Linked DNA regions of Schizosaccharomyces pombe. The protein of the gene in region 1 binds, or shares a complex with, the protein of each later gene. Each region holds a gene or a part of one and is shown on either strand. Other genes may lie near its edges. The genes, in order: qcr8 and qcr1. A codon is read from its position in the direction of its gene.

Region 1 (3,410 bases):
ATTATAGAAGACAACCATGTGTTCAAATACCGACATCTTCCGTATCTTGCTAGCGTTCATCCATTTTCCTACTTACCAGACAGTACAAATAGCAAGCAATTAAGTCATTGCGCGTTAGATTGTGAACTATGCTACACTACGAACGGGATGGAATTGGCTCGTTTGACGGTGGTAGCAAAGGAAAGCATTATTATGGATGTGTTTATAAAGCCTAAAGGCAAAATTTTGAGTCTCAATACTCGATTTAGCGGGATACATGATGCCAAAGAATTAGAATCAGGAATTACCATGGATCAAATGTATATTAAAATAAAGGAACTTGGCATGAATAAAAATACAATTTTAATAGGACATGGTTTAGAAAACGATTTGAATGCGATGAGGCTTATTCACAAACGTGTCATAGATACTGCTCTTCTATTTACGCATGCCAGAGGCCCGCCGTTTAGATATTCCTTAAAATATTTGACTAAAAAATATCTGGGAACAACAATACAAACTTCTACACACGATAGCGAAGAAGACGCTGTTTCAGCATTACAACTTGTCTTTTATAAGACAAAATCAAATGAAAGTCAAAACTAAGAGTAATAATGTTTTCAAATTCAAGAGATAGATCATATCACAAAGTAATTTTGTTGGATATATAGATTTCTGATACTAAGCATAATGAGAGGAGAGAGATAGTAATTGTAAACCCAATAAGGAAAGGGTAGGGAAGAATTTTGTAAATCCTTCTACCAAAATGAATACTTCATTCTCATCATTATTCCTCCACCAACTAAACCACATATTAGTAAAATGACAATTATTGACACAATTTAGAAGTATAGAAAAATGCTGCAAACCATAGCTGCTTATCGATTCTTCAGTCATTAACTTACGTGTCTTCCATGTTTGGAATTGAGGAATTCATTACGCTCCTTCCCCCAACAGTAAATATAGTAAGCTATTCCAAACGGAATTGCTACGTATAGACCTTCAGTCATGACGCGACGAAACATATTTTGCGTAGAAGTTTTGAAGAAGCCGGCCATTGGTCTCTGTTGAAATGGGGAAAGGGAATATGTTATGATTCCTTTTTGTTTAGGTCCACCTCTTATTAAAGTAAGTAAAAATGTATCAAATTGTTATAGCACTTACAGATGGCCCCACCATCCTCTATTCATGTGTTAGTATAAATAAAAACGTTCAATGATATTCTCAGCAGCTATTTGAATGTATATAACTTCGCTGACGAAAATGGCTTTACGAAATAAACACCAATTGTGTCCACCGTCTCACGCTATAAGCGTCAAAGAAAAGTCATATAACCCATTATAAACAGAAACTGCTTTAAGTTGCACTTACAAATAAGTTTTTCCTCCAGCAGCACCACCCATTTTGTTAAAACAATAATATATTGATGATTGCCGTTACAAAGTCAGATGTTTGTTAAGGGTAAGTGTGCGGGTCTGCTAGACCAATAATAATTCAGACGTTTACAAATTCTTGGTTTTTTATTCAAGATTTTTATTTAGTTTTACTATTAAAATTCTAAATAATAAGATCATGTATTTATTAATCATGAATATAGATTTTCCTAGAGGTTGCAGTTAAGTCATACTTAGTCTTGCTCAAACGGACTTCCCTTTCAGTTTGGTCTTTTAGTCCAGCGCTCAACGTACTATTAAAGAGATGGCTGTAGTACTGGAGAGAGTTGCACGTTATGCAATACCAATAGGTATTGGATTTACTCTATTACAATCTTCGATTTACGATGTACCGGGGGGAAAAAGAGCAGTTTTGTTTGACCGTCTGTCGGGTGTGCAGAAACAGGTTGTTCAGGAGGGCACACACTTTTTGATTCCATGGTTACAAAAGGCAATTGTTTATGATGTACGCACACGTCCACGAAATATCGCAACTACTACGGGTAGTAAAGATTTACAGATGGTTTCTTTAACATTGCGTGTATTACACCGTCCCGAAGTTGGAATGCTTCCTCAAATTTACCAAAATTTAGGCTTAGATTATGATGAGCGTGTCTTACCTTCTATTGGAAACGAAATTTTAAAATCCGTAGTTGCTCAGTTTGATGCAGCAGAGCTCATTACTCAAAGAGAAGTAGTTTCTGCCAAAATTCGCCAAGAACTAGTTCAACGAGCTACCGAATTTGGAATTCGGTTGGAAGATGTATCCATTACTCATATGACTTTTGGAAAAGAATTTACGAAAGCCGTAGAGAGAAAACAAATTGCTCAACAAGAAGCCGAGCGTGCTAGATTTTTAGTAGAACAATCCGAACAAGAGCGACAAGCTAATGTTATTCGCGCTGAGGGTGAAGCAGAAGCGGCTGATATTGTTTCCAAAGCACTTGATAAAGCCGGTGGCGCTTTAATCCAAATTCGTCGTCTCGAGACAAGTAAAGAGGTGGCTACTGCACTTGCTAATAAAGGTGCACAGGTCACTTATCTTCCCTTTGGAGCTGGTTCTAATGCCCAAAGTTCCAGTGGTTCTGGGTTGCTTCTTAATGTAAATCCTTAATTCATTCCATGTATCTGCTTCTAGCAGCAAATTCATAAGGTTTATTCGAGCTCCCCTAAACATATCAGCTTTATCTTATTATCCCTTTAAAATTAAAGAGATGTTATATAAAAGTTGTACTTTTCCACGCATTATGATTTTGACAAATTTGGGTTCTTAACGAAAATAAATATTTCCAAATTTTTTTATTTCAGAACTCAAAATTATGATTTGTCACCTTATTTTTAAAACGACAATTATTTTGGGTTTTGTGCTGATGAAATGGCTATATTAATGCTGCTAAAATTAGGGTTGATTGTTTATGTAGAGTTTTTTTAGCATAATGAAATAAACAAATATGCTGTACTGTTGGTAATTTTATTGACTTTAGATATTACTTTTAAAGTAAACAGACAAATATGGGTATCGCATAAATTCGTGAAGATTCGTTAAAAACGCCTTTTTTCCCTCGAGAATTTTTAATCAAACGGAATCCTACTTCCATTATTTTTGGCAGCAGAGATCGCACTTGGTATCTTGATGCCACAACAGTCAGCATAATGAGAATGAACATGTGTCACCTCAGAATCATCACCGTCTTGGGGAGCAGGAGACATCCCAGGTGAAGCTGGGATTAAATGGCCAAAAAGATAGTGCTGCATTATAGGAAGTTTACCCAAAACTTCTGCTCTATACATTTTTATCATGCCTTCGTTGACTTTAGACCAAGTCTTTACGGCAGAAATATCGTCAATCATTGGAGAATGGAAACGTAGTGAAACAGAAGGCTTCAACTTATTTAAAAAGTAAACATAACCTAAGTACATATAATCAGCGCGACACATCTCCAAAATTTCTGGATCTCTAACATGTTTGGGACGCAAATATTTATGATTAACCAACTG
Region 2 (4,530 bases), on another chromosome or scaffold:
TGTTAATCGTGAGGTCGAGGGTTCGAGTCCCTCCCTGACCGGATATATTTTTGTGTAAATATATTTTGTATATACACAGTTAAACGAGTACTACCAGTTATTTTATTATTGTGCTCATTGAAAATTCTTTCAAAAATCATGTTGAAGCTTTTAACAAAATTTAAAATACCTCTTATCTTTTCTTACACTATATATCTTGTTAAATTTTTTGACAAACGTCTACGGCCATACCTAGGCGAAAACACCAGTTCCCGTCCGATCACTGCAGTTAAGCGTCTGAGGGCCTCGTTAGTACTATGGTTGGAGACAACATGGGAATCCGGGGTGCTGTAGGCTTTTTGCCATATATGTTTTGGTTTCCACTATCGTGCGAACGATTTCAATAAACAAACATTCGTGTTTTTTTCGCTTATGCAAATGGAAAATGTTCATACCAATTTTTAACTCCATAAAAGCCGATATTCCTTACAGAAGATTAACCCGATAAACCCTCGCAGTGATTGAATGAATTGAACGGAATGCTCGACGATTATTCGCAAAAATCTATTTTTATAAAATAAAACTACATAACTACATTATCAAGTCGACTTACTACTACATGAATTTTAACGCAAGTTGCTAATTACGAGCAAGCGCCCAAGAAAAAAGGTACAAAAAAGGAAGAATGAATTCAGATTAACTCTGTAACATTCAAAGTTATGTCGATAAATTTTACAACACGAACGAATCCGTTTCATTTGTAAACATGGGTAGGTTAGTAAGCGGTTTCCGCTAAATCAGCGATAAAGTGAATAGTTGCTAGAAAGAAAGCAAGAAAGTAAAAGAGATTTTCAAGAGACTGCTAAATGAGAAGGGAGATAGAAAAATAAGATGACAAGGAATATCACGGGAGGATAAATTGCAAGCAAAAATGAATGCAAAGGCAGTATAAGAAGTGTCCGAGCAATACACCTTGACAGATAATAAATGAGAGAAAAGTTTAACTCTGAAGAAAGGGGGTTTTCAAAGGTGATGCAGTAAGCAACCGACTTTGCACTATAAACAACTCTGGTATGCTCTCATCTACTGAAATGATATTACTTGTGTGCAAACAGCTTCATATCCAACCGGTGATAGTACTGATCAACACGTAAACAACGTATATTGGTGAATTCAGCTCATATATCTGAAGAGAGCGAAGAGGCAGACGAAATCATAAAGGCGTTAACAAACAATAGCAAAGGATGAGCCTTAAGATTAAATAATAGACAATAGTCAAAAGTCCCAAGAAAATGCGTTTACCAACGGTTCATAGAAATACTGCTACGAATACGGTTGTAGTCCAACAAACCCTCAATGGAACCAACAGCAGAAACAGCAATGTCCTTGTCCCAAATCATCTCGGAAGCAACGCGGGCTACATCTTTTTCAGTGATTTGACCGATACGGAGATCAACCTCTTGAGGGCTCATACGACGACCAGTTGTAAGCAATTGGCGACCAATGTCCTCTGCAATGGCGGTCGTTGAATCCAAAGAAAGTAAAAGCGAAGCACGGAGTTGTGCCTTGGCACGTTCAACCTCAGCACGAGTTGCAACGGTTAAACGAGCCCAGTTTTGGAGGGTAAAGTGGACGAGATCATCAATACGGCCAAGGTTCTCAGTGACAAGATAAATACCCCAAAGTCCAGTATCACTATAACTAGTACTGAAACTCATGAAGCTATTGGCAAGTTGATGTTGTTGAACAATAGTACTAAGACGAGAAGACAAATGGGGAGATGCTCCCATAGCACGGTCCCAGTTACCAATGATGGCTTGCATGACTAATGCAGTAAAGTAATCTGGGTGTTTCCAACTCATACCTTCAACAGCAATGGCAATGTTGGCAGTTGGTGAATCATCGTCACGAGCACGGATTTCAGACCCGACGAAACGAGGTTTGAGTCCACGAGGAGCACCAAGCGACAATTGCTCAGCTGAAGGCTCCAAATGGCCAAAATATTTTTCGGCGAGCTTTACAAGCTCCTCATGAGATATCGAACCGGCAGAAGAGATAATCATTCTATCACTACGGTAGTTGTCCTTAATATACTGGAGAAGGTCCTCACGGGTAAGAGATTCGATGTTTTCCTTAGGACCCAAAATTGTACGTCCAAGAGGATGACCCTGATAAGCGGTAGCATGTAAATGATCAAAGACTACTTCATCGGCCATTTTGTCAACCTCTTCTTGCTCTCTTAAGATGACTTGGCGTTCACGCTCAACCGCCGAGGCAGAAATGCTTGAATTTGTCAGGATATCGGCCAAAACGGCAACTGCATTAGGTACAGCGTTTTTGAACGCATGTGCATAATAAACGGTTTGTTCACGAGAGGTGTATGCGTTCAAATGTGCACCAGTATTTTCAAATTCCAATTCCAATGCTTTTTGGGAGCGATTTTTCGTTCCTTTGAACGCCAAATGTTCCAAAAAGTGAGCAGCGCCATTATTTTTTGCCGTCTCAGCTCTTGAGCCAGCATCAACGCCCACAAGGACGGTCGCTGTTTGGGCATACGGATGATGTTCCGTAGCAACTGTAAGCCCATTTTTTAAAGTAGTGGTTTCTGTTTTTGGTAAAGCAGTAGTCGCAAAACGACGTACTAGCTTTGGCAAATTCTGAAGCCTCAGCATAGTAATATCAATTCAAGCTCCTTTGGTTGGGTGGGATTCTGTGGATGGTAAAGGGTAAGTAGGTAGCAAGAAGGTATTCCGTAGAGGTGTAGCGTAATACGTGTTATCGAGGTCCCAAGTTCGAATTTCGGCAAATGACCAATTGATCCCATTTAATAAAAAAAGAAAACTAGCAATCCTTGAATCCCTTACTAGAATTTCCATGTAGAGAAAAATAAGAAGTTGACCATTCAAACAGAAACTTTCGGATTGCCTAGTCTTTGCCCTGTGCGCAATTTGCTATAAAGGAAGGAAACGAATGACCGTACAATCCAGTTCATGATATAATATATCTCTACTTAACATGGAGAATCTCATTGGTAAAAAACTATGTAGGGGATATATTGTTTCATCGGTATATTGAAAAGAATCTATATGACATTGAATCAGACAGGGTAAGACACTTCATCAGGTTAAGTTCGTATTCATCTACATTAAAAGGTTATTTATACTTAACGAAATTCTCTTTTCCATGATTTCCATTACAATATTTCGGTTAATACATTTTTAAAAAAATAACAGTCCAACTATAGAATTTTGACTAGCACCGAATCAAGCATTGTTATACATCGACTATTGAGTAGCTTGATGGTTTCTTTTTATGAGAATAGTTTTTTATATAAATGATATTAATTTAAATAAAATTTTCATCCTCTTAAAACCGTTTCTCTAACCTTTTTTTAAGCCAATGCAGCACCTTTATATTAGCATAATTGCTACAAGTAAATTTCTATAGCTTTATCTATATTATATTATTAAGTAAAAAGATTTACAGTAGATTATTGTTTTTTCACAATGTAGTGCTTTCCGTAAAATTTTTTTTGAAACTGCAGTAACTTTTGGTACTGTGTAATATTATAATAGATATTCAAACTCACCACAAAACCCATGTAATATTATATGTAGAAGGTAATTCGTTTTCAGCAGTGAATAATATTATTATAAAAAGTAATAACCAGGTTTTGAAACGACCTTAAAGACCGGAGATTCTTCTGAATAAACTTATTAATCTATTATATCTATTTAAATTTCTAGTCTTTACTCTATGTTATACAATTTTTCGTTTATGAGTAGATAGATTTAGGTTCTCATCGCCTATTTCCGGCCACTCCAAGCTCAACACATCGAGCTGTTGAATGGCCAATAATGTGGACACAAGATCCGCCAATACGAACTCACCTACTACCACCACCAGCTTTTCTTGGTTTACAAACAATATGTTACAAACACGTTTAGGACTTGGAGCACTTCGTCAAGGACGTCTTCTTTTTGCAGTTAAATCTTTTAGCACAACCAGTGTTGCGAAAATTTTCCCTCCTCCCCCTCAGACCATTAAGGGAACTGTTAATGATGCTGCTGTTTTCCCTCACCACAGTAAGCTCCACGGAAGCTATCATTGGGACTTTGAAAGAATTATTGCTATTGCCATGGTTCCTCAAGTCATGATCCCTTTGTTCACCGGAACTTCTCATCCCTTAATGGACGCTGCATTGGCTTGCACCTTGATTACGCATGCCCACTTGGGGTTTGAATCTTGTGTGATTGACTACTTCCCTGCAAGAAGATTTAAGAAGTTATCTCCTTTGATGCACTGGATCTTACGTGGATGTACTGTTCTTACACTTATTGGCGTCTATGAGTTCAACACGAATGATATTGGCCTTACGGAGGGTATTAAAAAGCTTTGGAAATCTTAAGCTTCTTTCCATGCAAACCCATATAACCCCACTTATTTTTTCATAATGATTATTCCTTTCCTTTTTCTTTTTTATTCTCCTTAATCCGTCATCTAGTAAGTTTTGGGCTTGAAACTTACCAGTTCAAACCCCAAAACTGCCAA

Evidence for each region.
Region 2: the proteins of qcr8 (region 1) and qcr1 are in contact, whole or in part, in a cryo-EM structure (PDB 8Q1B), measured with the Schizosaccharomyces pombe proteins. Residues at the interface, in NP_594714.1 of Schizosaccharomyces pombe: Trp13 (codon at 1,157), Trp14 (codon at 1,154), Gly15 (codon at 1,151), His16 (codon at 1,148), Leu17 (codon at 1,145), Pro20 (codon at 1,091), Lys21 (codon at 1,088), Gln22 (codon at 1,085), Lys23 (codon at 1,082), Gly24 (codon at 1,079), Ile25 (codon at 1,076), Ile26 (codon at 1,073), Thr27 (codon at 1,070), Tyr28 (codon at 1,067), Ser29 (codon at 1,064), Leu30 (codon at 1,061), Ser31 (codon at 1,058), Pro32 (codon at 1,055), Phe33 (codon at 1,052), Gln34 (codon at 1,049); in NP_595827.1 of Schizosaccharomyces pombe: Gln168 (codon at 2,150), Arg246 (codon at 1,916), Phe247 (codon at 1,913), Val248 (codon at 1,910), Gly249 (codon at 1,907), Ser250 (codon at 1,904), Glu251 (codon at 1,901), Ile252 (codon at 1,898), Arg253 (codon at 1,895), Ala254 (codon at 1,892), Arg255 (codon at 1,889), Asp256 (codon at 1,886), Asp257 (codon at 1,883), Asp258 (codon at 1,880), Gly341 (codon at 1,631), Asp430 (codon at 1,364), Glu440 (codon at 1,334), Gly441 (codon at 1,331), Leu443 (codon at 1,325), Tyr445 (codon at 1,319), Asn446 (codon at 1,316), Arg449 (codon at 1,307).

What each region holds. Positions count from the first base shown.
Region 1 is NC_003424.3:4,765,082-4,768,491, reverse strand, and holds qcr8 (ubiquinol-cytochrome-c reductase complex subunit 7), read right to left. Parts: upstream 1,437-3,410; 5' UTR 1,383-1,436; coding exon 1,351-1,382; intron 1,162-1,350; coding exon 1,144-1,161; intron 1,099-1,143; coding exon 885-1,098; intron 782-884; coding exon 767-781; 3' UTR 586-766; downstream 1-585. Other genes in the region: exonuclease Rex3, read left to right, coding at 1-585; prohibitin Phb1, read left to right, coding at 1,678-2,526; ypa2 (serine/threonine-protein phosphatase 2A activator 2), read right to left, coding at 2,985-3,410.
Region 2 is NC_003423.3:2,032,193-2,036,722, forward strand, and holds qcr1 (MPP complex beta subunit Qcr1), read right to left. Parts: upstream 2,708-4,530; 5' UTR 2,652-2,707; coding exon 1,278-2,651; 3' UTR 650-1,277; downstream 1-649. Other genes in the region: TIM22 inner membrane protein import complex and succinate dehydrogenase (SDH) anchor subunit Tim18, read left to right, coding at 3,908-4,387. UniProt on the Schizosaccharomyces pombe protein: Catalytic subunit of the essential mitochondrial processing protease (MPP), which cleaves the mitochondrial sequence off newly imported precursors proteins. Preferentially, cleaves after an arginine at position P2.